Regions from separate parts of the Mus musculus genome. Here regions 2, 3 and 4 are each reported to be linked to region 1. The links are microRNA targets in miRTarBase. Many come from high-throughput screens and were not tested one by one. Region 1 holds a microRNA gene; each other region holds the end of a gene's coding sequence.

The links. The annotated mature microRNA mmu-miR-568 reads AUGUAUAAAUGUAUACACAC and lies in region 1 at 2,161-2,180, opposite strand. An mRNA with a match to its seed (bases 2 to 7 or 8) in the 3' UTR can be bound and repressed. Matches are read on the target gene's strand: a 7mer-m8 pairs with bases 2 to 8, a 7mer-A1 pairs with bases 2 to 7 and ends in A, and an 8mer does both.
Region 2: miRTarBase lists Pax3 as a target of mmu-miR-568. Seed matches in the 3' UTR shown: 8mer at 2,317-2,324.
Region 3: miRTarBase lists Psd2 as a target of mmu-miR-568. Seed matches in the 3' UTR shown: 7mer-m8 at 5,883-5,889.
Region 4: miRTarBase lists Myo7a as a target of mmu-miR-568. The part of its 3' UTR that is shown has no 7-base or 8-base seed match.

The regions. Positions count from the first base shown.
Region 1 is chr16:43,635,724-43,642,844 of GRCm38, reverse strand. It overlaps Mir568 (microRNA 568), which reads right to left and starts at 2,190; the gene lies at 2,108-2,190. It also overlaps a transcript of Tigit not described here.
Region 2 is chr1:78,096,860-78,103,980 of GRCm38, reverse strand. Pax3 (paired box 3) reads left to right here. Exons shown (of 8, transcript NM_008781.4): 8 at 407-2,714. The coding sequence ends at 673. Among named protein-coding and RNA genes, the nearest start is that of Pax3, 97 kb to the left of the region's middle.
Region 3 is chr18:36,012,177-36,019,297 of GRCm38, reverse strand. It overlaps Psd2 (pleckstrin and Sec7 domain containing 2), which reads right to left. Exons shown (of 15, transcript NM_028707.4): 15 at 4,583-6,659. The coding sequence ends at 6,450. It overlaps Nrg2 (neuregulin 2), which reads left to right. Exons shown (of 11, transcript NM_001382420.1): 11 at 616-4,717. The coding sequence ends at 1,384. Among named protein-coding and RNA genes, the nearest start is that of Psd2, 51 kb to the right of the region's middle.
Region 4 is chr7:98,045,035-98,052,155 of GRCm38, reverse strand. Myo7a (myosin VIIA) reads left to right here. Exons shown (of 49, transcript NM_008663.2): 49 at 440-1,096. The coding sequence ends at 529. Gdpd4 (glycerophosphodiester phosphodiesterase domain containing 4) reads right to left here. Exons shown (of 18, transcript NM_177696.3): 18 at 2,493-3,582. The coding sequence ends at 3,545. Among named protein-coding and RNA genes, the nearest start is that of Myo7a, 71 kb to the left of the region's middle.

The DNA.
Region 1 (7,121 bases):
GGATGAAAAATTTGCATTATAGATCCTCAAAGTGATTTCCCATCAGTGGTCCTAAATTCCTTACCTCTGGTGTCAAGAGGACCGATGCACTTCTCTGGCTTTCTGGGCATAGTCCTCAATTTGGACAACCTCAGACTCAATAGACCTCCATGTGCGAAGGAACATAGAGAGCTGCCCAAGACAGGCACACCACAAGGACAACATGAGAGGAGACCAAGAGAAGAGCTTTTTTTTTTTTTTTTAATTATTCCTTCATATTCAAACTTCACAAACAGTGTGAACTTGTACAATACCTCAGAAAGTGAAACTTACAAAAAAAGTGCTGGTAACATTTAAAAAAAAAAACAACAAAAACCCCAAAAAACAAACATCATTCTTAGCAACATCAATTACTCTTCCACACAAAACAGAAACCTTGTAAAATTTATTTTCGTATTTTTAAGGCGTAATACTTCTGTATAAAGTATATGCAAGAGATAAAACTTCACAGTATTCCAAAATGTCACAATAATAATAATATAATAGTATAATGAAGCGCTACAGTTAATTTTTCTTTTTTTTGAAATTTTTTCCTGTTTAAATAACAAATACAAGTCACAGGTAAATATACGTGAGAAAAATACGAGGCTAATATTAAATGGCAGGTAAGGGTACTGTCACTGTAAGAAAAACTGGCAGGATGTGTGTATTTAGTCTATATTTTAAAGCACTTGATAGAAAAGGCGTACGCAAGGTTTTTCAAAACAATTTTTTTCTGTTTGTTTGTTTAATAACTGACAAGAGTATAATGAGAGAAAAAAAAGGAACAAACTCCCTCTCAAAACTATTGACCTGCTCATCCCAGACCACGCCCCTGTGGGGGGATGTGTGTATGTGTGTGTGTGTGTGTGTGTGTGTGTGTGTTGATGTGTGCATGGATTTCTACAGTGCAGACTGAGACAGCAGTGTTCCACACCCACCTGCAAGGACAGCCATTCCTCCAGCTTCTCTTGGGAAATTATTCTTTTGACTTAATGCTCTCTCCTTTCTTGCCTCCCACTTCAAACTCTTCCTCAGTGCCCCGTTCATCAGTCTGAAAAGTTACCCTCCACTCAAAATTCTCTGGGAAGTGGAAAACTGCACATGGTGTGTGACACCCACAGAAACATCTGAAATATCACTTGGACAAATGAGTTATGTTTGTGTGTGTACATCATGTCTGAATATACAGTGTGTGTGTGTGTGTGTGTGTGTGTGTGTGTGTGTGTGTGTGTGTGTGTGCATGTGTATGTATACACAGTAGCAATTGCAAAAAGGGGACCATATTCCTTCCCACCCTAATATACAACGTGATAAGGGACATTTTTCCGTGCAGGGCAGGGTTTCTTCGAGTCTTATCACAACACTGTGGTGGGCAAATCAGAAAATGAGTTCACCTTCCAGCAGTCACCACGGTAAACGTCATTGAGAACACGCATGCTCAGATGTCTGGTCTGTGCACATGTGTGTGTGTTAACAGCTAGCTATTCAGCCAACAGTAACAGAAGACAGCAGATAGCAAAATACGTCAATAAGGTGCTCAAAGAAAAAGGTGGCACCCACTTGTCAAATGGATGGCCACGTTAAGGTGCTTCAAAAAGAGTTTTAAAGTTTTTATTTCAAACGTTGAGAGAGTTCTGGTTTGCACATGGTAGTTCTGAGCCAGGCCAAGGGTTTTGAGTTTTCTGACATCTTCCTACTGAAAAGGACTTTCACTGTGGTTGTTTTGTTCACTTGGATGTGGTCACTTGAATCTAAACCATTTTTAATAGGCAAAAATGAAAATCAAATCGTCACGACTAACAGAAAGAACGGATGAAATGGTAGAGAACATTACTGCATTCCCATTGGATCAAGATGGTCTGTCCCAGTTTTCCTCAATTGCTAACACTGCTCCTTGTTTTCCTTTGTTACAATCCATTCCTTATGAACACACAGCAGTGACCAGCGTCACCGCAAGTGGCTGTTTTTATTGTTTTGTGATCTGCTGCAAGAGTCCAACCTTGTTTCCTCTGCTGCTGTTTGTGAAATGAGCATCTGGATTTGTAATGAACACTTGATATGCTATGTGCACCTGTGTGCGTGCACACACACCTATACCTGTATAATACACACACCGCATATATGTGGACATATATAGAAGTGTGTATACATTTATACATAATATAGTGTATACTGTTTCAACTGGAGATATGCTGAACTGGGTTCAGACACTAGCACGTTTATCTTTCTCCTGTTCCCTCTGTGTGTTTTAAACAGTCTGGAGCTTTTATTTATTTTTAAAGTGCATTTTTAATGCAGAGTAACTATAATCCACTGATTCCTTGGATAACTTTTTTTTTTTTTTTTTGATGAGAAAAATCTGACGGTTTTCAGCCCCAGGCAAGAGAAACCAGGGTTTGGTCTTGCCAAGGACTGAACGTGGCAGTGCCAGGCTTGTGCCTGAGTGATTACTGGGCATTCTGGACTCCGGGCACCTCAGCAGCAGCAGCAAGCAGCACCTTTATGAGAAGGCAAAGACAGGAAATGAAGAAGGAAGCAATGTTCAGAGGAAGAAGAGTGTATTTGGTGTTTGTGTGTGCATCTCTGTGTGTGTCTGTGTGTGTGTTTGTGTGTGCATGTATTGCACATACTCACATATGAGCATTACTAATCTTGACTGTGATGGGCTTGTGCAGTCCCTGTGTATTTTCAGCCATCTAGTTCCTCCCCTACCAACTGACCCCAATATCCGATGGTCCCCACATGCTCAACTGTCACCTAGAGGTCCTCACTCCTGGGGCTGACATCAGCGTGTGTTCCTGTGGGCATGTGAGTGCCAGCATAGAATAGGAATAAGGCACCAGGGAAATCAAATGTCATGAGAGAAAGCAAAACCCACTTCAGAGCCCCTTCCCTTGTCCTTTAAAAATAGTGCGCATGACACCGTTCACGTGTGCACTTGAGAGTGTGCCATACACATTTTCTGAAAGAAACTCAACCTTGAGGCCCTTCAGCACCAGAGAGCTTTAGGAGTGCACCCTTGTCTATACCGCCCCACCCCCACCCCACAAGCAGAAGCACCGAGTTGGGAGAACGAGGCAACTTGCCTTGCTCACCTCACTGTGATAAAATAAGAACAATAAAAAAGTCTAGGAAATAGAAATTTCAGGAACTTCTCTAAAATCAAGTGGATTAGGCTGTCGGATTCTGATTCCTTGATGCTCTAAGTGTGCACAGTGACACGTGGAGGGATTGAGATGTTTGTGTTTAATATTTAGTGGGGGAATATGCTAAAAAAATCTCCCAGTTGATGCCTAAAAATCCTCTCTTCCACAAACACTTTAACCTTCCCCTTCTACTAAAAACAAAACAAAACCCAACACATTGTAAAAAAGGAAGAGGTTCATTTAACTATAAAAGGGAAAAAAATGAAGGCACATGACTTTAAATTTAGTCCCACAATCCTTAAGAAAAATAGTTTTTTTTTTTGCTTGTGTGTGTGTGTGTGTGTGTGTGTGTGTGTGTGTGTGTGTGTACACGCGCATGCGTGCGCGCTCGCGTGCATGCGCGGGATTTTGCATGAAGTATGAAGTCCATTGGACAGTTACCAAGAGAAGCTAGAAGAGAAAATGAGAGAATTTGGGACAGAAAGAAGAAAGGAGGAGAAATGGAGGCCTCTCTTCAGCTTTTTGTCACTGACAGTCTTAAAATTTGGCTGCTTTCGGGTCCAGAAAACAATTCATTTGTCTTGGTCTGGAAAGTGCCCCAGTTATAAATATCTCCAGTTAATCATGTTACAGCTTTTGGTGTTTCCCTTTTCCCTTCCCTCCAGCCAAATGATTTTTTTTTTTTTAAATATCACAGTTTTTAAAAATTATTTTTTCAATGTTGAAAAAATATGGAAAAGCTATTGAACAGCCTCAGGGCGCACTGCCTCTCCATCTTCACAGTGAGCAGATGGATGGACGATCCACAGAGTCAAAGAGGAGGCGGGCAGCAAGAGCCCTTGTGCTGAGTGGTCCCTTGCTTTACCTCCTGAGGGCCGGGGCCTTCGCAGCGCCCACAGCCGTGTTTTCTGCTTGGATCCCACCCCCTCCCATCCACGGAACGTGGGCTGCTGAGAAAGGCAGAGCCACGGTAACTGGAGGGTCTTCGAAGCAGAAGGTGAGGGGGACAGGGGCGACCCCGCCAGGCACTGTTAGCTGTGTGTGCTCTTGGCAGCCTCGCCTCTGGATGGAGAAGCTCCGGGGCCCTAGGGGTCCCCCTCACACCTCACTTCCTGTGACCTCGCCACCTTCACGCCTCTTGGCAGAGCTGGCCCCACGTTCCTAAGAAGGCAATGATCCAAGATAGAGAGGCAGAGCCAGCCGGCTGTGTTGTACAAAAAAGGGGCTATAGACAGCGGGATTTCAGAAACAAATTTAACTTTGGTTTTCCGACTTTTTCAGACCATAAAAATTAAAGCAGGGCTTCGGTGACTTCCGTCATCTGAGAGCTGTTACGTTTTCCTCATTTGGCAAGGCTAAGGCAGGGGGGGAGAGAAAAGGTTTCCCATAATTGGTTGAAGACACAGGGTGGTAAAATGCTTCCACACTTAAACTCACAGTCCAGTGTTTTTGACATTTCATAAATAGCTTTTTTCTCTAAAAAAAGAATAAAACAAGAACAATCCCTTTACTTACTCATCTGAAACAAAATAAACAGCAGTGGGTACAAACTTCTTCTTGTAACAATTACAAAAACAACAATATAATCCCAACTTTTAACACGCATCTTGAATCAGTTATTATTTTTTAATCTCAAAACTGCAGCATATCCTTAAGGGCAAACTTTTCGATTAGTTTTTTTCTTTTTTTCTTTTTTTAAATAATGTCTTCACCAAAAAAACAGTCTTGTACCAATAAAATGCATTCAAAAATAGAAAATATTACACAACAAAAATATGTATCCTTCCTTTCCAAAAAAGATTCTTCACAAAAAAATGTAGAAAAAATTCCAACAATTTTTCCCTCTCCTAAACATTAACTTTCAGTCTAGGGCACAACTATTTATTGATTTAAATGTCTGTTTTTGCATAAGATATGGAAGATGCAAAACTTTACTGTATTAGGATTGTGACATAACATCCACTCCCACCCCATTCTAAAACAGAACAAAACCAGAAAAATCCAGCAAATATTCAGCAAATAATAATGAGCCAGTTGGCTAGGAGAAGTAACCGGTGTCTCGCCTTTCTCTGTCCATGTGTGTGTGGCAGCTGGCCTTGGACTAGGGGATGCTGGGGAAGAGACCAGGCTGGCTTCAAGCACTTTATTAGCACACGTAGATCTCAGTGAATCCCTTTCAGTATTCCATGTTGTGGACCCATCACTGCTAAGCCTCAGAAGAGCTTGAGGGCTGTCAGAGCACTGTGTACATCTGTGTACTGGGTATGTACATTTTCACAAATCCTTCTCAAGTATTGAGTGTGTGCACATGAGTGCGTGCGTGTGTATGTGTATGTGGCTGAGACCCATGGTAGAAAGTAACCCAGAGGTCCGCTGGTGTAAAGAAGGCGGGGTGCTCCCTACTTACCGACTTCCACATTCAACTTGCTTAGGTTTTTATTGGAACAATGGAAAGATCTCGCCTCAGAAAGGATTCGTAGTTTTCCCCACACACTGTACACCTAGGTTCCTCTTATAGTTTTCAGCACTGTAGTTGACAATGTCTTTTTATTACTTGACAGTATTTATCTCTCATGTGAGATATAGCCTATATTTTGTATGAACAGAATATTTTTCATAGCTTTTTTGTATGTGTGTGTATCCTATTACTTACTTGTTTGCTGGTTTTTTCTTCGGGGTTTTGTTTTGTTTCGTTTCTGATTTTTAAACAGTGAAATGTGTCCAATTTTATTTCCAGTGCATTAAACAAAATTTAAATTAAAAGAAGAAATAAAACTTTCCCCCTCATTCTTCTAAAGGAAATGACTGATAAAGTACATTATAATAAAATCAGGCATTACCAAAAGAAAAAAACAATAGCATCATTGTGCAACCTCGAACACATCAAAGGAAACAGACAGACAAGGCTTGCAGAACGTAAGCATGAAGAAGCCATGCTAACATAGTCCTAACTATGGTGTGACGGCAAGCACTGGTTAAAAATAGGTAAGGCTACTCTTTGATTTCTAACAACATAGTCAACCACTGCTCTCTGGTCTTTTCTCCTCATCTTTACTCATTAGAGTCTGTATATGTTTAAAATGAGCAAATTTGTTTTTATATTTTTGGTCTACAGTAGAATTACATATTAACAATATAATAAAAAGATATTTAGGTAACAGGTTGGTACTGCATCCATGTGGGAAAATAGAAAAGAGAGCACTCAACTAGACATAGTAATTGAACTCTATTTTTATAAAAATAACAATAAATGTAATAGAAATTATATTCAGGGTAACATTAAATTGAAAGTAAGTATAGAAATTTCTATTTGGGATAATACAAACTTCTGACAAACTCTACCCTAGAATTGCAGCCTCACAATCTTTCCCATGATTCTACCTTTCCACTCTCACTTAAGATTCAAATGGAAATGGAGACAAAATGAAAATAAAGTTGACAGATGTCTGAGCCAGCCAAAACTTCCAAGTTATCAGAGTTGATTATCAAGATATTGGGATCATCAAGACACTTGGGAAATTGTTCAGCCCTCAGGGGGCTAGCCACTAATAGTATTTGCTTGGTTTTAATTTTGAATGAGCTACCAGCCTACTGAAAAAGAGAGAAGCCAAGGAGTCAAATAGTTCTTCTGGTGCCATTCATGAGATGAAGTTTAAGTCTCGTTGAGAGGACATGGCAGTAAGACGGAAGAGAGGAGAGAGAAGAGACAGGTAAGCTTTGGGTACTACCGCATCTGTTTGCTGTAACACAGGAACTTCCTTTTGTTCCTAAGCGTCTTTTAAGATGAGCTGCAGACTATGTGTTCTGGGTAAATAGGTGTCATCTCCTTATAGGTGTGAAATCCAGACTCTGGCTTCCATAAGAGCTGGGCCAGTCTAGTCTCCCTATTACCCCTCGTTGTTCACCCGTGATGGACAGAGAAGGCCAGCAACACTGTCAAGGCAGAGGCTCTTT
Region 2 (7,121 bases), not on the chromosome of region 1:
CACACACACACACATAATCACTTGGGTGTCCAGATGTACTATATTAGATGGTTTTCTCTCTAGACTTATATAACATCTCCCTCTGTTGCTTCTTTGCTTTTCTTTTGAAATTCCAGTCTGATGTTATCACAGCAGACACGGTGTAATCTCTCCTTCTCCTGTCTTCTTCCTCTCCTTCCTTCTTTTCCTTCTCCCTCCCCTTCCTTTTGCTGAAACTGCCGTCAGATGTTATCTTGGGTGAGGTCATGTGGCTGCCACTTTGAATTGGGGTCAAAGCCTTCAGAAAAGCTCCTCAATGGCTGTCTAGAGACATAAAAGTTGGCCTTTCAAGATCTTGCGCTGTTTTTGGGGCTGCCATCTGTTTCTGCCCACATTTTAACTTCTGCTCTGCCCGTCATCATTGCAGGTAATGGGACTTCTGACCAACCACGGTGGGGTACCGCACCAGCCTCAGACCGACTATGCTCTCTCCCCTCTCACTGGGGGCCTGGAACCCACGACCACGGTGTCAGCCAGCTGCAGTCAGAGACTGGAACATATGAAGAATGTGGACAGTCTGCCCACATCTCAGCCCTATTGTCCCCCCACCTATAGCACCGCAGGCTACAGTATGGACCCTGTCACAGGCTACCAGTATGGGCAGTATGGACAAAGTAAGCCTTGGACGTTCTAGGGGGTAGTTCCTCCTGGAAGGGAGAGAGATCACCTCTTGCTTGAGAACGGGGAACTGGAGGCATGTTTAAGCCTTTCATCCCAGTATCATTTTTTTGTGGCAAAGACAGCTGATTGCTACAGCACAGGCTCCCTTGTGTAATTATTTGCTTAACTGATGTCAATAACATCTTGCAGTTATTAATTGCTGGGACGGAAAACCGGATTGTCAGTAGGTAAAACACAGAGGTTGGCCAAAATGAAATAACCTCTAGCATTAGAAACACATGTTCTTAATGAGGTCAGCGCCAGGATCATATGGGGATAAGCCCAGGACACAGAGTTGTGTCAAACTTGTCTCAGGAATAAAAATATTAGTCTCGATCCTTTGATACCGTGGTATTAAATATGACATTGTCAGCCTGTAGCTGATCTTGCCCCTAACTGTGAATTGTCCCAGCATGACCTAAAAAGCTGCGTGTGTTTCCTTACAGGTGCCTTTCATTATCTCAAGCCAGATATTGCATAAGTGAACTGTCCACTTGGAGCCCTGTTTCCGGCCTCCACAGACTAGACATGAAGAATCTTCTCAGAAACAAAACAATAAAAAAAATTTAAAAACAAACAAAAAATAAATGAAAAAAAATTCAGCTTTTGGGGGAGGTGGAGACAAAAGAGATTGATTTTCTTTCTCCAGTAGTTGCTTTCAGATTCTTTGAACATATTGGACAAAAGGCAGGGGAGACAAGGAAGACCCAGAGCTCTAAAATGCACCATTTTTAAGACAGTGATGTAACTGGCTACATATCAAAATGGCCCCAAATCTTTGTTGCTGATCAAAGAAGCTAAAACATTCCGTGTGTGTGTGTGTGTGTGTGTGTGTGTGAGAGAGAGAGAGAGAGAGAGAGAGAGAGAGAGAGATTGATTTTCACGGGGTGGTTTGAGTAAGCAGAATGTTCCCATATATTGTAGTTGAATTCCTGAAAGTTAACAGGTTTGATGTCTAAGGCTGACCAAGTTTATGACATTCACACTGCTTATGTAGTGAATTGGGAATGGAGAAATCCTTGATTTTGACACACTGGAAACCGATATGAAAACCAACACCACCATTGTATAGGGCACTAGACTAGATGTGAAGGATCTCCCCAGTAAATTATTACCATACCTTCATTTGTAACCTAGTTATCAACCGATGTCCCTGACATGTCTTGTAAAAAGATGTGGGATAATGAGAAAAAAGTGTGTTATCTGCTGTGGGGATAGATGGATGTCATTTACTTCCCAAGTCACATTGATTTGGAGGCCAGTTGGTGGGGGGGGGGGAAGGGTATGATGTAGAGGAAGTGACACCCATCACATATCTGCTTCTCAGCGTGCAATACTGTGTACCTCACAGATGCTTTGGCAATGGCCAAGGTGATAGAAATGAAATCAGAACTATATTTTTGCAGGTGTTTTTATTTTTGCAGCCCATAACTCATCGTAGTAGAGTGCAGTGATGTTTGCTCGTTGCCAAACAACTCACATCCTGCTTGTTCCTTTTGTTCAGAGACCATGTCTGAGAATCAAGCTCTCTACAGAGATGGTGTTTACATTCGTCTCTTTTCTACAAAAGGCAGGGCTAGAACAGAAATGTCCACGTGGCTCTCATGTACTTTTAAATTATACAACGATACCCAATATTAAAGGATATAGGGAACAGGTTTACATACATTCATGTGGTGACATTTAGGATGTCAATAAATCTGTGTTTTGAAATGTTAAGAGAAAGATGAAGGTGGGCGGTGCTGTTATTTATTTCTTTCTATTCTTGGAACCATGAATGAGGTAGGCACAAATACATTCCCTTTAGATTTAAGAACAATGAGGTAGTGTGTTAGCAGGACTAGACATAGAACTGAGTTATTTTATACGTTGGGCAGGGTGATGGAACAGGAGACATAGTATCTTTGTGTTGCAGCCTCAACCAACAATGATGTGTTGTAAAAATGTCTTTCATGTAAAAAGTGCAGTAAATATTTACTATTTATAATGAATAAACAGTTAATGAAAATGTGCCCAACACTGCTTTTGTGTGTGTGTGGGGGGGGGGGGGGTGCTGAGGATGGAATGCAGAGTGAATGAGAAAGGTGGCTAAGCTGGGCACTGTGGACCCATCCTACTCCTGGTCCCTGGTACATGAGACTGTGACATGGACAAGAGTTACATATAAACCCAAGACGCTGGCTTAAACACACTCTGCAGGACTGAGTTTACAATATCAGGGATGTGGAATCTAGAAGTGCGCCCTCCCTCTCCATCTACCCTCTTTGGTTTCTTTGGTTCTCTCGGAGATGTCAATTCCTTTCAGCCTCATTTATAAATATGTATCTCAGTACACCAGGATCTAACTTCATCTCCCAAAGTTCTCCACATTGAAAATTTTATTTTAAAGACTTTTGTTTTAGCAACTCATTTCAGCCTTGGAAGGAAATAGTCTACTTCTGTCATTGTTTTCCTTTCCTTCTCTTCTTCCCCTATTCCTCCCCACACTTATTTCATGAGAGTCTAGATGTGGCAGGTGTAACACTAGACACTGGCATTGCGACGGCACAACGTGATGAGTCAGGGGGTTGAACTTCTGTTTCAATACATTTGGATGGTTACTTATTATAAGGCGATTAATCAACACCTACTAAACTCTTGTATTCACTTACTCCTCTCAATGTCTCATGTGATGTCATTTCAACTGTGTGACAATCATCTGTAGCAAGAAATTGCTGTATTGGGTAGCATTGATGTAGAACATTCTAGAACGTTGTGGTAGGGAGTTCTGTTGGTCAGCTGATTTAAAACACATGGGATTTTAACTATCCAGAGGAAATGATATACAGTAGGTAAAAGTTTCCAAATTTTAAAAATGCCTATACTCTTTTCAGCTTCCACTTGCCCTTCTGATCCACCATGTTGCTCTTTTTCTGACAATTACTTTTTTTTAAAATTTAAATAATACAGTTGTAGAAAAGGAAGATAATTGTCACCAAACACTTGCTTTTTGTCAGTTCTCACAGGACTCCTGTGAGGTGAGTGTCTTTTGCTCTGTTTTACAGCCAAGTGGACCCAGGTCCAGAGTTGTTAGGTTAGGCTGGGCTCATACCGCACGTAGGAGCAGCAAAAGCAAAGCTCAATTTCTACCAAACGTCGGAGTAGGGGCCACATAATTTTACCTCTCCAAAAGCTGCTTCAGATACTCGTTGCATTATACGAGTCTTGTGCCAAAACCCAAGTTGAAAACAGGCATTTAAAAAAGTAATTCCTTCTCGGTGCATGGAGACATGCTGCCAGGACTCGGATTTCACAACAGAAGCTGGTCTTCCCAGGGCCCTCTCCTGCCTGCCTCCTGACCCCAGGACCTGCCATGTGGGGCCCAGCTCTCCTTCTGATATATGTCTTTATGCCCTTCTCTTATTTCTGGATGTCTTCGAAACTATTGCTCTGTTGGCAGTTCTCATGTTCAAAGTCTCCATAGATCTTTCTTGCTCTGATTTTTCTTTTCGTCTAATCAATCTCCAAGAAATCGAACGCCTGACCTCCCCTGGGCTGGAGTCCCAGCTCTCATCTTTTGGGACAAGCCACACTAAGGGCTCTGAACTCTTGACATTTAACTAAGCTTGATCCTGTTTATATGTGAAGTTCCCTCCTTGATCATATCACCATTCATGTGCGTTTTGAAAGGCTAAAAGTAAAAAGTACAACCAGAATAAAAGATTGTCAGATTGTGGCCATCCTATGGTCAGCTCGAAGAGTCATTCCTATGCAGTTTCACTAGGAATAGGTATCATATTTCACAAGTATTTTATTCCTGTAACTCAGTTTGTTGGTGTATTTACACACACACACACACACACACACACAGAGATAGATACACATAGACACACACACAAATATTCAAGCACAGGTGAAAGGGATGTTTAAATGGACAAGGCTTCTTACTCATGGTTGTGAGTTTAGAAATGGAGAAGAGAATGGGTAAATGCATGATCTGTGTGGATAATGGACGGAAGAATCTGTTCTCACACTGTATCAGTTTGAGTTAAAATTAGCACACAGGACCCGAGCCAGGGTCTCTATAGAGGCAAACTTACTTTGGGGATAAAGAATTGGGTCTTGGGCTGGAGAGATGGCTCATTGGGTAAGAGCACTGACTGCTCTTCCAAAGGTCCTGAGTTCAATTCCCAGCAACCACATGGTGGCTCACAACCACCTGTAATGAGATCTGATGCCCTCTTCTAGTGTGTCTGAAGACAGCTACAGTGTACTCATATAAATAAAATAAATCTGAAAAAAGAAAAGAATTTGGGTCTTAGTTATTGTTAGCGAACATTTTTGGTGTTCAAGAATTCATAGTTAAATATATCTAATATCAAACAAGAAAGCACCAGTGTCAAGAGACAGGATGTATGACAGACCCTAGGTGTAGACAAACACTGACAGACCTGAAGGTTAGCTTTGGATGAGATGTATGAAGGTGATGGCAGAGAGTGTGTGTCTGGGGCTTCTCGCTAGAACAGCTGTGATCTAAGCCACATTTGCCTTTTCCAGAGTCTTCTCAGTATTGCTGAGCTCATCCTAGGAGCTCAGAACCAAGTCTCACCCACAATAGACACCACAAACCCACCTGTGGAATGAATCAATGAAGAACTAATGAAGAGCGACTCTTCTCTTGACCTCTAGACAAGGGGAAATTTGATTCATGCATGACCAAAGGCTGAGGTTGGATTGGTACAAAGACCAAGGGAAACAGTGGGAGACAAGGGGTCTAATAAGCCAGTATAACCCCTATTATAGTGTTTCTGATGGACATTGAGTGCCCAACAGGAAATTTGTTGAGTTTAACACACACACACACACACACACACACACACACACACACACACACACACACGCACAGAGGGGTGGAGGAATTGGTTTTAGGTCCATCTTTGACCACAATAGAGCCTTGAAGCTTCATCCACATATCACCAAGTACATTTACCTTGTCACACTTCAGAAGTCACTTTGAATGAAATATGGGGACACACAAGTCTAGCCTTCCCCATTGGGTCCTTGCCTTCATTTCTCCTCTTAAGTCAGAGAGCAGGGTGTGGTGGTTCAGATGGTCCAGTGATGGTGTGTGAGATGTGTGGTACAGTTGGATGGTCAAGGGAGTTGTTTTCACACCATGGCCTCTTCAGCAAGAGGCTGTCAAAGCTCATCCATTAGATACCAGTCCTGCTTGGTTTCTTCCTCAAGATGTGTAGGGACATTTTGTTTTCCAAGTTCTTGTGACCTTGTGGCATTCTGGAGAGCTCTGAGCACACTATTGCCCTGTTCATCTGGCTTCCCCACTCCATGTAGGTCAGGACTCATACAATACCTGAGACTCAGGAAGGATTCCCGCCCGTGATGGATTGTTTTATTATTTGAATGTTGCAGGAGACAGGCTGTGATTTCTTTCTTTCCATTACTTATGAATACATTGCATATTTACTGAGCTCCTAGTTCATGCTGGATGGTAGGGCTTCAATACAAACAAGACAGTTCCTACTTTCAGAAGACTACAGGATAGAATGAGCCCAGTCAGTAAGGAGGGTTCAGACACCAAGTAAGGTGTAAGCAGTGCCTTATATAGGTCCCAAGGAGAAGCTAAAACTCCAGTAAACACTGGAATGCTTCTCAGAGAAACCGTTCTGAAGGCTGGATGTCTAAGGGTAAATCAGAAATGACTTGGGCAGATATAGTGGCGAAGGGCAGGCTCTGTTTTTATGTCAGGTTGGCTTCTGCATTTCCATGCAAAAGAAGTCAGGGAGATCAGACTGGGGCTGAGCCTTCCACATTGGCTAGTAAGGAGAGTTTACAGCCAGACCGCTATGAAAAGCCATGGTGACTTGGACTCCAAGGATCTCAGATGCAGTAACGTCTTTTCTAAAGACTTATTGAACGCTTTGATCTTGAGGGCAGACGTTAAAACATAGGAAGGGACATATATGTGCTGTGATGATCACCTTTATGGTGACCCCAAAAGCTATGGGAGATGTGACACTGGCTCACTGTGGGTCTGCTGCACTTACATTGAAGAAGGGCTCTGCTGGAGGTCTCCAAGCTACAACATGCTAGCCCTGTCACGGGCTTGCAACACTGCAATATCCTTCTGCACCTCCACTTCATGTTCCAGGCTGGCCAGCGCAAGCCACTCTTAGACCAGTTATCCAGTTGTGAAGACTTGCCTGTCAATCTTTATACTTAACCTTGCTGACTTAAGGGAAAGTTTGTCTATTTTCTTTTTTTTTTTTTTTTTTTTTTTTTTTTTTTTGAGGTCCGACTTTACATTCTTCTTTGGGACAAGTTGCAAATGTCCTCACTGCATGCATATGCAAACTGTCTCTAGGTTGTAAGATGGGAAGGGAAAGCCAAGGGCTCAGAGTTGTACATATAGATGACGAAAACAC
Region 3 (7,121 bases), not on the chromosome of region 1:
TCACTGCAAGAGCAGTGAGCTCAAATCCAGGTAGTCTCTGAATGGTGGCTAGTGGTTCCTGGAATTAAGCATACTATTCTCTGCCTAACCTGGATTCGAATCCCAGGGACAGGTACCCAGGATTCACACTGGGAGGTATTAGCAAGAAACAGGCCTTCAAGGACCTGGGGATCATCGGCTCTAAGATGAGACACCTAGTGGTGGAGGAAGGAGTTAGTTGATTCAGAAAGAATGAAACAGACCTACCACATTTTGGTCATTCAGTCCTTGGCACTTCAAGTCTGGGTCCCCTTTTTCCTATATGTAGTATAGCCCTCACCCACAGATGCTACAGAATAGATGAGACCACACATAAAACACTCCAACCTGAGCGTGCCTCGGAGACTGTGAACGTCCCTACAGTACTCCCCTAGTACATTTCTGAAATTCTCCAGCATCATACTGGAGTAAACACTACATTCATCTGTGCTTAACAGATAAGAAAAGGCTGGGAGGTTCATGGAAACTAAACGTGGTCAGAGCCACGGCTCTCACTCTTATGGACACTTTCTGGTTGGAATCTCTGGTGAACACCAGCACTGCACCCTGACTCCCGACCCTCTGTCTCTCCCACAGGTACGTGTCAGCCTTGACCACGCCCGCTCGCCTCTCGCCCGTGGACTTCCACTACTCGCTGGCCACGCAGGTGCCGACTTTCGAGATCACGTCGCCCAACTCTGCGCATGCCGTGTCGCTGCCGCCCGCCGCGCCCATCAGCTACCGCCTGGCGGAGCAGCAGCCGCTCCTGCGGCATCCAGCGCCGCCCGGCCCGGGGCCGGGGTCGGGGCCCGGAGCGGACATGCAGCGCAGCTACGACAGCTACTACTACCCTGCGGCGGGGCCCGGGCCGCGGCGCAGCGCCTGCGCGCTGGGAGGCAGCTTGGGCAGCCTGCCCGCCAGCCCCTTCCGCATCCCGGAGGACGACGAGTACGAGACCACGCAGGAGTGCGCGCCCCCGCCGCCGCCGCGGCCGCGCACGCGCGGCGCGTCCCGCAGGACGTCGGCGGGGCCGCGGCGCTGGCGGCGCTCCCGGCTCAACGGGTTGGCGGCGCAGCGCGCACGCGCGGCGCGGGACTCGCTGTCATTGAGCAGCGGTTCGGGCTGCGGCTCGGCGTCGGCCTCGGACGACGACGCGGACGACGCGGACGGGGCGCTGGCGGCCGAGAGCACGCCATTCCTCGGCCTGCGAGCGGCGCACGACGCGTTGCGCTCGGACTCGCCGCCGCTGTGCCCCGCGGCCGACAGCAGGACTTACTACTCCCTGGACAGCCACAGCACGCGCGCCAGCAGCAGACACAGCCGGGGGCCGCCCACGAGGGCCAAGCAGGACTCGGGGCCCCTCTAAGGCCCCCCGCCTCGCCCGCCCCACGTCTCCAAGGAGAGCGGAGACCACCGACTGGAGAGGGAAAAGGAGCGAACAAAGAAATAAAAATATTTTTATTTTCTATAAAAGGAAAAAAGTATAACAAAATGTTTTATTTTCATTTTAGCAAAAAAAATTGTCTTATAATACTAGCTAACGGCAAAGACGTTTTTATAGGGAAACTATTTATATGTAACATCCTGATTTACAGCTTCGGAAAAAAAAAAAGAAACAACAAAAAAAAAAATAAGAGAGATGGGCCAATTTTTTGACTCTTTAATAGAAACCTATATTGTGGTGCCTTTTGCTGTACGCTAATCTGGGGCTCCTGGAGAGCCGTCTGGGGTGCAGTGTGAGGGTGGGCGCTTGTAGGATCCCAAACTGGTGGGGGTGAGAAAGGGCAGGGAAAGAAGAGACTGTGAGGTTCTAATGGCTCTGAGGAAAGTGGACAATGAGGAAGAAAATGAAGATAAGATGTAATTGTATTTTCCCCAGTCCTGAGCAGAGAAGGCAGGGATGTTAGCCTTAGAGCTGGAATTGAGATTGGGTTATCTCCAAGGACACTGGCCTCCCCGCTACAGCAACTAGAATGGGGAAGGGTCCTCCCCAGCCCTCACAGCTGCTAAGGGAAAGAGGACAGAGAAGGCTGTCTCCCCACCAGCCCCCTGCCGAGGGAGGGGGCAGCTCTACCAGGGGCCCAACCTTCAGGGCTCCTCCTCCCTGGCGGCCTCCAGGACATCCTCTGTCCTCTGCAGCGCCTTCGTTTACAGGTCGTCTTTTCTATTTTACGCCTGCATGTCCTTTGCATTTCGGATTCTTTAGATTGAATGCATGGTCACGCTGGGACCCAGAAGAGCCACTCCGACAGTGTATTCGATTCCCCTTTTAGCAATAAAGTAACACCATGTCCTTCTCACAGCCCAGCTCCCAACCCACCTATGACTTCCATCTTCCAATCCTGCCCTCCCCAGCCAGCCCTCACAACTGGATCCAATGCTAATTTGTCAAAAAAGGCAATTGTCTAAAAAGCAAACAAAAATCCCAAACAGAAACAAATGGGAACCCTGACATGTCCGAACACCTGACTGTTGACACTTGAACATTTTTATATTATAAATAAAATCAGAAATAACTCCTGTTTGACTGTGTGTACCTAGGTGAGGAGGGAAGCTAGGAGGGCCTAGGATGAGGCACATGGGTACTGGGAGGAAGATTGGATAGGGCCAAGATAGTCCCTGAGCGGAAGTGACCCTCTCTCCAGTCCCTCTGGCCCCAGCTCCCAGGACCTGCTCCAAGTCTTTCTTCCAAATCATTCATAAGGTGTCCCCCTGGGTGCTAAGGAACCCAGCCAAGGGACTGACGCAAATCGTTCCGCTTTAAACGCAGCCTCAGAACTCTGGCCCAGTTCCTGCCCTGCAGCTAGGAAGCTGGACTAGGGCAACAGTTTTTTGCCCAGGTGGGTGAAGAGGGAAGGGTTGTGGGGTTGGCACTGGGGCTGCGGAGGCAAAGATGACCCTTGGGGCTTCAGGCTCGTCACAGGCAGAGTCTGGACATGTAAGACAACATAATAGGTCCCCTCATTGCCAGGAGGACCAGAACTGCTCCTGAGCCCACAGGGTACTGCTCCTTCCCCAATTGTATATGCTCTCCCCACACCAGAGCCAGGGCCTGTCTAAACCTGCGGCTCTGATGAAGGTCTAATCTCAGGCATGGAGGAGGCAGATAGAGTCCAGGGTAAACAGTCTTTCCCATCAGCTCCCTAGAATACCAGGAACCAAGATGCCAGCCAGAACCTAAAGCCTTCCTGGGTGAATGTGTGCGCATGTGTATGCTTATACAAATTCTTGAAAGTTGCAGCGTGGATCTAGACAGATACTCGCAGAGGAGTGAGACAGAGAGGCATAGTGCGACAATAGGTTCTGAGTCCGGGTGCCACCTGTCCCTCTCTAGCTATGTGGCTTCTCCAGGCCACGGTTTGCTTAGTGAGAAATGAGGAAGCAGTCGCTTACCTCAGCGAGTGACTGTGGAGGTTACATGCAGATGGACCCGGCACTCTTCCTGATTGATATCTAGTCTTGATGGTCGCGGAGACGGAATCCTGTGTCTTGTAACCATGAGTCACAAAGTGGTAAAAACTCAATGAGGTGATTAAGAAAAGTCTAAACTTTTATAAAGTTGTTATATTCATTAAAGGGTGCTGAGGGGCACTTATTACAAAGGGAAAAGATGAAAGAGAACCTTCTAGACTGAATGTTACACAAACCTGTAGATCACGCCCAGGCCTCACCAGATGACCCTGTGGTCTGTTTGCTTTCTTAGGGTACTAATCCTTACGTGTGACCTCTGATCTCTATGGGACCCCAGATTAAATGCTCTGACCTCTTGTTGAGCCCACTGATCTCATTACGATCTAATTCAGTGTCCTCACGTAAACTGTGTGGGCCGGGTTTGTTACCTTCTATGTTTACATCCAGAAACCACCTGTAAGACTCAAGTGACCTCGTCAATGAACCTGTACATGACCCCATCTCATTCCCTCATCATCTGCCCTATCTTCTAAGATACCCCACCAAGAGTCCAAGGCCAGAACTTAACCTCGCTCTTCAGTGCTCCCTTGATTGCATTAGCCCGTCTTCATTGGACAGGTATGGTTGGGACCTGGAGCGTGCTTGACCAGAGAGCCCTCTTGATCACCCTGACTCTCAGGGTTTAGCCTTCGGGACGTTGAGTGTGTGGCTTCCCAGGAAGTCACTTCAGGCAACTTCCCTTCTGCCACCCTGTCCCCTGGGACACTCAGGACACTCGGGCAGCTTCCAAGGTCAAAGTTCTATCCCCTGCTCCCCAAGTTCTTTCTCTACTTTGCATTATCACTTTTAGTGTCTTCCCAGTCCCTCTGAGTCCTCAGTGGCCATGGTAACCACTTCTCCCCTAGTCTCCCTCCTAACGGTGAGACCCGTGAACACAGGGAACTGGCCTCTTTTACCACTGTCCCTAGCACACAGCAACAGTGTATGGCACATGGTTGACCCTCACGGAAGAGGGTGAAGGCTATTTGTCAAGAATTAGGCACCAGGAGTTCCTGAGCCCTGGAGCAAACCTCCCAGGACCTGTCCTTGTGGGCTTGTTAGGGGTGACAGGAAAGAGGAACATGATGGTCTATTAGAATGCAGGAAAAAAATATTAGAACTTTGATTTAGATTTATTTTCATCTCATCTTTTTTAAATTTCTATTTTTGTGTATGTTTTATAATGTACATAATATTTTAGTACAGTAGTACATGTATATAATTTACAAATAAAGAATTATACAATTAAGGAAGCGAACTAAAAAATGTCTTTACTGATGGGAGGCACAACTAGTGCTTGGGGAATCACGCGTGTCTGAGGCTAAAGAACTTCACCTCTACTGTCCCCCACCCATGACACAGAGAGTGGGACACTGGCTGGAAAATCAAAGGACTTTCAGGCAGCTGGACAAAGAACTGAGATCTCTTTGCTGCCCCCTAAATTGCCTTTCTGATCTCATTCAAACGAGCATTTGTTTCCCCTGAGCAAAACAAAGGGGCCAGATGGTTTGGTTATCAAACGCACTTCAGCTAATCCAATTTAAGCAATTTGGATTTCAACCCCACTACACCTCTCCACAAACTCCCAGCTCCCTGCATCAGATGGGAGTGGATTTGAAGTGATAAGCACTTAGTTGCAAAGATTATGTCACCCAAGACTGCAAACCGTTGGCCAAACAATAGGCAAGATTGGCTCGTGGTAGCTGTGTCAAGGGGGCCTATCCCCGAGACTCACTTGTTGCTCTAAGTGATGCGGTGTTCAAAGGATGTCAACCCGTGAGAGACATGTGTCTCGACTCTCAACTGGGTCCTTAGCTTAGGCTTTCTGATTTGCTAGGAAAAGGAAAGGATTATCACTAATCAAAACCTTGTCACTCTACCTTCTCCCCGAGACCACAAACTAACAGCTTCCTTAACCCTACTCTACCGCCCAGCCTGGGCTTGCCGGAGGATGACGCTCAGCTAGGTAGTGTCCTTCCTTACTGCCAGGAGGTCTGTGCAGAGGGCATCACTGGAGCTCGGAGACCTTGGCAGTATTCACAAGAAGATCAAAAGCAAACAGAGGTGTGCCCCCAAGGCACTCAACCCACAGGACACCCCTGGGACAGAGGAGGTGACACACACGCAGGCATCCTGTCCAGTCCAAAAGCATCAACTGGAAAAGTGATTGTGAGTCACAAGTCAGCCGGAAAAGGAAAAGGCAAAAACACAGAGGGTCTTCATCCTCCCATCCAGTGTCAGAGCAGTGCAGGGCCCCCTGCAGGCTTCCTCCATAGCAGGCCAGGCTCCAAGTCAGGAGTTTTCCTTTTTCTGGTTTCACCCTCTAGTCGGTAGTAGTTTCCAACCCTTCTTTAAATGAGTACTTTACATATATATATATATTGTGTGTGTGTGTGTGTGTGTGTGTGTGTGTCTGTATAAAAAAGAGGCTGGAGAGGCCTCAGGGGATGAAAGGAGAAAGGGGACACACGCATGTGTGGAATCAGCTTGGCACTGAGTGGAGGTTAGGCCCCAGATTATTGCAACGTGAGGCAGGAGAACTGGGCCGGTTGCAAAGGTTGCTGGTGGTCCATAGACCTGCTGCTGGTCAACTGAGAGGAAAGAGGAGAAAGGGTGGATAGCCAAGCTGAAATCCAGAGTCCAGACCCACCCTCACAAATACAGGACGAGGGAGGAGCCTGATGAGAAGGGAGCCTGGGAAAGAGCAACAGTGACAGACTTGTCCAGCTCTAGAGCATGTCTGGCCCCATGACTGGAGGGCAGCAGGGCTAGGAGAGGGTCTAGGCCAGCGATGGTCCAGGATGCAAGAAGATCAGCGTCATGAGTGACATCTCCATCTCCTTGGGCACAGGGCTCTCCACACCCCTCTGGTTGCCTGTTAACTGCCTGGAGCTCGGTCCAAGCAATCCCTGGCTGGAATTGTGCTCACTGACCCCTCTGGGGACATTTGCCTGCCTCTAGGGCCTGCACAGCCACACTAGCTAAGTATCAGATGCAGAGGTATCCTTTGTGGCTTTGCTGCCAGTCACAGGCCCGTGGCCCAGGCTGAGGGCGGGGCTTGAGTGTGTTTTCCGGAGAGCTGGGTCATCCCCTTCTATAGTAGCCAGCCGTGCCTCAATCCGCTCCAGGTCATCTGAGCCCACTTTGATTTTCACGGCCAGGAGGTGAATATAGGTCTCATAACGGCTTTTCTGGGGAAAGGGAAGACAAAAGACAAAAGCAAAGTCAAACAAGATGCAACAAAATGGAGATAGGAGATTCGTCTTAAAAACCTAGTAACAAAGCACCAACCTCTGTGGCATTCCCCTGCATCAACAGCTCTTGCAATCAACAAAAGGAAATAAACCACCACCACTGCCCTCCCCCAAAATAGGCAGACACACACATCAATCTCACTGCCCTCCCCCAAAATAGGCAGACACACACATCAATCTCACTGCCCTCCCCCAAAATAGGCAGACACACACATCAATCTCACTGCCCTCCCCAAAAATAGGCAGACACACACATCAATCTCACGTATTGTTTTCTTGAGACATCATCTCACTATGTAGCCCTGGAACTCACTATGCAAGCCAGACTAACCTTGAACTTGCAGCGATCCTCCTGCCTCAACCTCCTGAGAACTGGTTTCTGCCCAGTTTCTCACTTAC
Region 4 (7,121 bases), not on the chromosome of region 1:
CTCCTGGTGGAGTCCGTTAGAAGCCTAGTTTATTTAGGTCCGGGGAAAAATGGTCAGCTAGGGTGGAGGAAGAGAGCCATCATTCAGCTGTTGTTTTAGAATCTGGCTATTGATCCCATGGATGTGGGCCTTCAGCCCATGTGCACCAGAAGAGCCATTAGCAATGAGACCTTCAGCATGAGCCCAAACTCCCAAGGTGCAACTTAACTGGTAGTTTTTTGCAGTCACTCCTGCATTGAGGCCTCCAGGCTTAGAGGGACCACAAGCCTGGGGCTCAAGATAGCAAGATGAACCCAGCCACTTAAATGTGTAGATGGGGGCAGACTTGCTTTGTTTCTGTATTGTGCCCACTGAAGTATGTTCTGGGAGCCGTGTCTGTGTGTGAGGGGCTTGTGCGTTCCACTGTGGGCTCTGCTTATTTTCCTACCCCTGGTTTTAGGGATACAAAATGGATGATCTTCTGACTTCCTACATCAGCCAGATGCTCACAGCCATGAGCAAGCAGAGGAACTCCAGGAGTGGAAGGTGAACCTCAGAGGAGACGCTGGCTCAGGCCTTGGCCCTCTAGGCAGGGAAGCTGGACTGACCATATCTGCTGGGCATCTGATCTGCCTGCCACGAGGTCCAGACTCTTCTGCATCCACCTATGGCATCTGGGTTTGCTGTCACCCTACTTTGTTGTGGCCTTCCTGGTGTAAGAGTCTGTGTTCCTTGGTCACCTCTCCTGATTCAGACCAGCTCCATCAAGCAACCTCTTTTGACTTTCTGTATATGGATGGCACAGAGGAATCAAGGACAACTTAGCTCTCTGCATACTTGGAACAACCAAACTATTTGTACATTGAACGGATGCTCTGAAACCCAAGGGACTGGGCTCAGGGTCCTCAGCACTGGCCCCTGTCATAAGCACTACCACTAAGGACTCTCTGGAGGACTCCTCAGTATCATCTGCTCCAGGAAGCCCCCTAGACTACCTCCTGAGTCTGGACAAAGCCTCCTGATTCTACCTGGATCACTCCTGTTATGTGACAGTTATGTGGTGGGTCCCTGCTAAAATCTCCCTGACCACCTGAGGGCATAAAGCATGTGTCTTATTCTCTGGTCTCATGGTGATCTTTGCTGGGGAGACAATGTGGGATCGGGGTGCAGACCTGTAGGGGTGGTCTGTGAAGCTACTTTTTCTACCCGCCTGAGCAATATGCTTCCTTCACCTTGGGGTTTGGCATGCTTAGGCCAAGGCTTCCTTGAGTCTTAAAAGACCACTTGGGACAGAGGGGATGGGGGAAGTGATTGCCACTGGCCAGAGAGGGGAAGGCCCGAGCACATGTATACAAGTGTGTGTGTGTGTGTGTGTGTGTGTGTGTGTGTGTGTGTGTGTGTGTGTGTAACTAGGGCCAGTGGAGGCAGAATAGCCCTCCCATCTTGCCAGAAGCTTCTTCTCAGTTTATCAAGACATATCCAAGATTGCTAACACTTTCTTGGGTGAAATGCTGAGGTCTAGTGATAGTGCTTTGTGACCAGAATGAGACAGTGAAGTCTGGGGGTGGCTGGGTAGATCTGGGGCAGGGGCTTCAGATGGGATGGTGGCTGGAGTGATTAGCTACTGGTGTGACAAGTTGAGAATCCCTTTGAGATGGTAGTGTTTGGAACTTCCATCAGTATCTCCCCGAGACTTTACATTAAGCACCCAGGCTGCCACGTCTGTATGCCTGACCATCCCAGGGAGTGCTGTTCCTGACCAGTGCACTGCATGTGGAGGAGAGGGCAGCTGGTGTATACAAGCAGAGAACTCAAACCAAGCAGCCTTTTTCTATGGAATGGATGCCTTGGCTGTTGAGAAGGAGGGAAATGCCCTGTCCTATAACATTCGCATGGCTCCACAGTCAACTAGGATAAATCTGGTCCATGGAGAAGCTGATATAGAGAAGTTTGCTCTATATCTTCCTGCTGAGGGGAAGGGTGAGGTCCAGGAGGAGTGTGAATGGATTGTCGGGAGCCATTTTTGCCTGCTAGACAGGGTCAAAACAGGTCAGGGGTTGAGGGCAGACAGATAGCCCATTGACAGATCGTGCCCATTGACACATGGGACGATAGGAGGAGATACTTTGAGGGTTAAGGTGAGGGCTGAATGTTCTATTAACCTTGGTGGGAGGAACAGGGAAGTCTCCAGATGGGAACAGATATCCTGTGTATGTTAGCCACGGTTTCTGCTAGCTTGTGGTTTTGCTTCCCACTGCACTGTGGGGTATAAAAATGCTATTGAGCAATAAACTCAGAGCTGCAGTATTCACTGGAATATTTCTGAATCTATCTCTGTGTCTCCTTTCTGCCTTTGCTATTGTTAATCCTCACTCTCCACTCAGAGGTCTGTTTGACTCGTGCTGGCTGGCCTGGCACAATGGCGGAAAGAAACAGCATAGAACTCAACTCACTATTGCTAACACTGGGCTCCCAAACAGAGGGGACCAAATGATCGTTCTGAGTTCTGTTTTCCTGGTAAGGCCAAAGGCTATTTATTCAGTGAAATGAGACCGTGAATTGCAAACCCCAGGCATTAGGGAGCAACCCACTGCACACAGATCAGAAAACGAGGGTGGGATGCGAGCTCTGTCCTGGCTCATGTCTATGCCACCTCTTCTTCCCCAACTTAGGAAAATGTCACTGCTGCACCATCCCACAGTCTATGAGCCTAGGCGACCACAGAGGGGCAGAGAACACACTGGCTTCCTGAGAGGTTGCCTTTATTATAAGCTGACATGACTGGACACTCCTTCAGCAGGAAGTACAACAGAAGCATAAGATGAGACAGCCCTGCAACCTAGAGAGCACCAGCTCCAGGTCCATGACTGGGTACCACTGTTTGCCCTGGCCTGTCTCCTGAGGAGCATCCCGTAGAAGAGCTGGGCTAGAGAGCTGCTCCTGAAAGCCTCAGCGGTCTTGGCGTGAGCCTTCTTGACCACACCCTACCATCACCATACTTAGGTTCAGAGAGGAGGAGAAGAGGGCAAGGTGAGGCTAAATTTTCTCCAGTGGGAGAAGGAAGACATAATTGAGGAGGAATATGCCATGTTAACAGATTCCTGGGGAGGGATTTAGTTTACAGGGGTCATAGTGTTTGTTGTTCAGCAAGGAGTGTGCCTAGTGATTCCCTAATTGGGAACTTGGAGGTTTGATGTTCTCTATAGGAACTCTGGTTGTTTGATATTCCCCTTAGGAGGCATGGCACTGTTGAGGGGAGCATTAGTGATCTCACACCCCTCTTAGGACACTTTGGTGGTTCAAGGTTCCTTTTGGAAGCTTTGACAGAGCATTGTCATCTTTGGGGAATCCTTGAGGTATAGTATTCTCTTTGGGGTTACTGGTGGTATGACACTAATAACTCCCTTGGGGTGATACTGGTGGCTTGGTATTCTTCTTGGCAAGTCCTAGTAGAACGATTCTCTCACTGGAGGAAATCTGGTGGTTTGAGAGCCTCATGTGTCAGGACTGCCGTGAAATGGAGAGTTTCAATATCTCAGAAGGCTGGAGTCTGGCCAGAGTTTTCCTATAAGTTTTCTGTTTTAGGCTCTGTTTTCTGAAGTTCTGTGGGAGAGAGAAAAGATAAACACAGATTTCTCAACTGTCACTCTCCATACTTTTGTTTACTCTATGGCGAGCTCACAGTCATCGCTTGTATGTTAGTACTGATTCCAGCTCACCGCTGACTTACTCTAGACTTTCCACCCTTACACAATTCTATGCAAACCTTACAGATAACCCTCCAGTCCATCCCTCCAGGACACACAAAAGTGGCTGTGTGATCCAAGGGTGCTCAGTAGGCAGTGACTGACATTGTCTTCACGTGGTCAGCTGTGATGTCATGCCCCTCGATTCCCGGCAGGATTACAAGCTAGAGGCCAGCCTGGGCTTCAGGGCGAGTTCCTGTTTCAACCTACCCCTCAAAAGTGAACACTTTCCCCCACCAGAATGGGAGTTTCTTGGGGGGACTTTGACTCATTTGCTATCATGTTCCCAATACCCAGAAAAATGTCACATACTAGAGGCCTAATATACCCTACTACCTTGTTGGTGGAAAAACTGGCAGGTGGGGGAGCTAGGGAATTCAGATCCACCTTCAGGTAGAAAATCAACTTTAAAAGTAGGTAAAGTACAATGAAAAAAATTTATTACAGTTATTTGAGAGTTAAAAAAAATATAGTGAGGAATTATGGGACCCAAATAAAGAATGTAATAACTCAAGGAAGGAAGGTTATCCCAACTGTATGTTTCCTGAAAAACACTCATTTTAGATATTAAAAACATAAATAGTGGTAAATGTTTTTAAAAGGTAGGTCATACCCAACACTAGAGAAAAGTCAGGGTTTCTATTAATATTATACCAAATAGAGTTAAGAATCATACTATTATCCAAAATAATAAAGGTTTTACTATTGACTTAATTAACATTCATAGTATACTCTATCCAATTACAGAACGTGCTATTTACATATACACATGGGGAAATTACAAAGATGGGCTATATTATAGGTATAAAATAGTCACCGTAAATACAAAGGGACTGATAATCATTCCAATTATAGTCTCTGGAAATAGGAATTTAAAGTAGAAAACAATAGCAATATTGATGGAGAAGTTGGAGCTGTGGGTCTAGCTCAGGAATAGAACGTAAGCTTAGCAAGTAAAACAAACAGACAGACAAACAAACAAACAAACAAACAAACCCTGAGCTCCACTCCCAGCCTCCACTAAGAATTCCCCCAAAGACATCTGGAAAATCCCCTAATATTTGGAACAAACAAGTTCAGTTTCTCAGTTATCAAAATAGTATAGGGTATACAGTAGCAATTCAATACATGTATGTAGTATGTAATGATCAGATCATAGTAACTACCATATCTAGTTCCTCAGGTATAATTCATTTTTGCATATATTTTATTTATTTGACAATTTCATTCATGTATACAAAGTATCTTAATCATATTCAACCCAAATTCTCTCTGTGACTCCTGTCAGACCCTCTGCAATACTTGTTTCTCTCTTAATGTCCTATTAAAAAAAAGAACCCATTGAGTCCATTTGGTCTTGCCTGTGTGTGCAAGGGTGTGGGGCCATTCTATAGAGCATGGGCACCCTCTCTGAGATCACACCTCTGTCCCCAGCAGCCATCAATTGTCACCACCTCCTCAGCTGTGAGGAGAGCCACCTAAGTCCCTCCTCTGTGTGTTGGAATGTTTACTGACCACCTTGATCTTGTGTAGGTCTCTTACAAGGCAATAGCTACTGGGGTCCAGAAGGCAGCATTCACAGCCCTCCTCCCCATCCTTTGCCTCTTACAGTCTTCCTACCCTTCTTCACTGATGGTTCTGAGTCTTGAGGGGAGTGGAAATAAATGTCTCATTAAGGGATAATCATAAATAGTTAATTATTCTCAGCACTTCAGCCAGTTTTGTGTCTCTGCATTTACTGCTCCCCTTCGCAAAAAGGAACTCCTGTGGCCCAGGCAGAGGATGGCACTAGTCTAGGGATATAAATGGAAATATTTAGAAGAACGCTTGACAACATATCTAACTAGGGAAACAATGGTCGTATGTTCCTCCTTTGATCCCATAAACCCTCAGACATAGGCTTTTGGCCAAGTTTATAGTTGCAGGTGCTTATTTTCTTATGTGGAGGAGGCCTCCAGTGCAGTCTCAGGGCAGCTGGTTACACCAATATGAATTTATGCTAGCCAGGGATATTGGTGTGTTGAATTTTTGTTGTTGTTGTTGTTGTAGCCCTGTCTAGCTTTGGATGCAGAGTAGTGCTGGCCTCTTAGAATGAGTTTGGAACGGCTCCCTCCCTTTCAATTTACTGGAATAGTCTGTAAAGACGTTGTATTAGTTCTATGGAAGTTTGGTGAAATTCAAAAGTAAAACCATTCAGACGCTGACTTTTGTTTGTTTGTTTGTTTGTTTGGACATGGAATGGTTAATCTCTACTCTCAGCTTTGACCTTGGAAGCACACATCTGGGTGTGTTTGTCATCTAAATTAGGTTAAACGAGGCAGGAAGACCTACCCTAAATGTGGGTGGTACCATGGGCTGGAGGCCAGCCGGCAAAACCAGGAGGAAGCTACCCGAACACTAGAACTATCATAACTGCTTCCTAACGGCCATGCAATGCGACCAGCTGCCTCAGACTCCAGTCACCACCCCTTCCCTGCCAACACCCACGGAATCCCTTGAACCCATGAGCTGAAATAAACCCTTCCTCCATTATAGGGCTTTGTTCTGTTAGACATTTAGTCACAGCAACTAGAGAGTTAATACAAGAGACTGACCCTTCCAACTAAATCCCATGACTCACTGTTGTTCCTGGTTTTCTGTGTCCTCATGGTTCAGTCTTAGTGGGTCCTTATGTCTAGAAGTCTGTTTCTTCCAGGCTTCCGGTTTGTTCCATGTAATTGTTCATTACTGCTCCAGTGGTCCCTTTCTTTCTCTGGTGCTAAGTTACGATGTTTAACAATGCCCACTGCTATATTTAAAAATTGGGTCTTTTATCTTTTCAATAAGCTAATTTAAGCTCCCTGACTATTTATATCTTTTAGTCTCAATTCTATTCTGATCTTTGTAATTTCTTGTCTTCTACTTTGCTAAATTTAAAATTTGGGTCTTTTATCTTTTCAAGAAGCTAATTCGAGCTTCCTGACTATTTATATATTTTAGTCTCAATTCTGTTCTGATCTTTGTAATTTCTTATCTTCTACTAACTTTAGGTTTGCTTTGTTATAGTTTTTCTAATGTCTTGAGTTTCAGCAAATAGGTTTTTATTTGTACTCTTTCTCTTTTGAAATGTGGCTATTGCTTTCTTCAAAATCCCCGCAGCACTGGCTCTGCTACACTCATGTGTTTGTTTTCATTGTTGTCTCCAGTTTCAAATCTTTCTCTTTTGGTTTCCTCAGTAATTGACTTGGTAGCATGTTGTTTCGTTCCCATGATTTGTATTTGTACCATATCTAAAAACCCTCTTGTTAATTACAGGTTTTATTGAGGCCAAGAAAAATATATGCTATGACTTCAATTTTTAAATTTTGCTGAGACTTGTTTTGTATGAGCTATCCTGGAAAATGTTCTCTGTGTGTG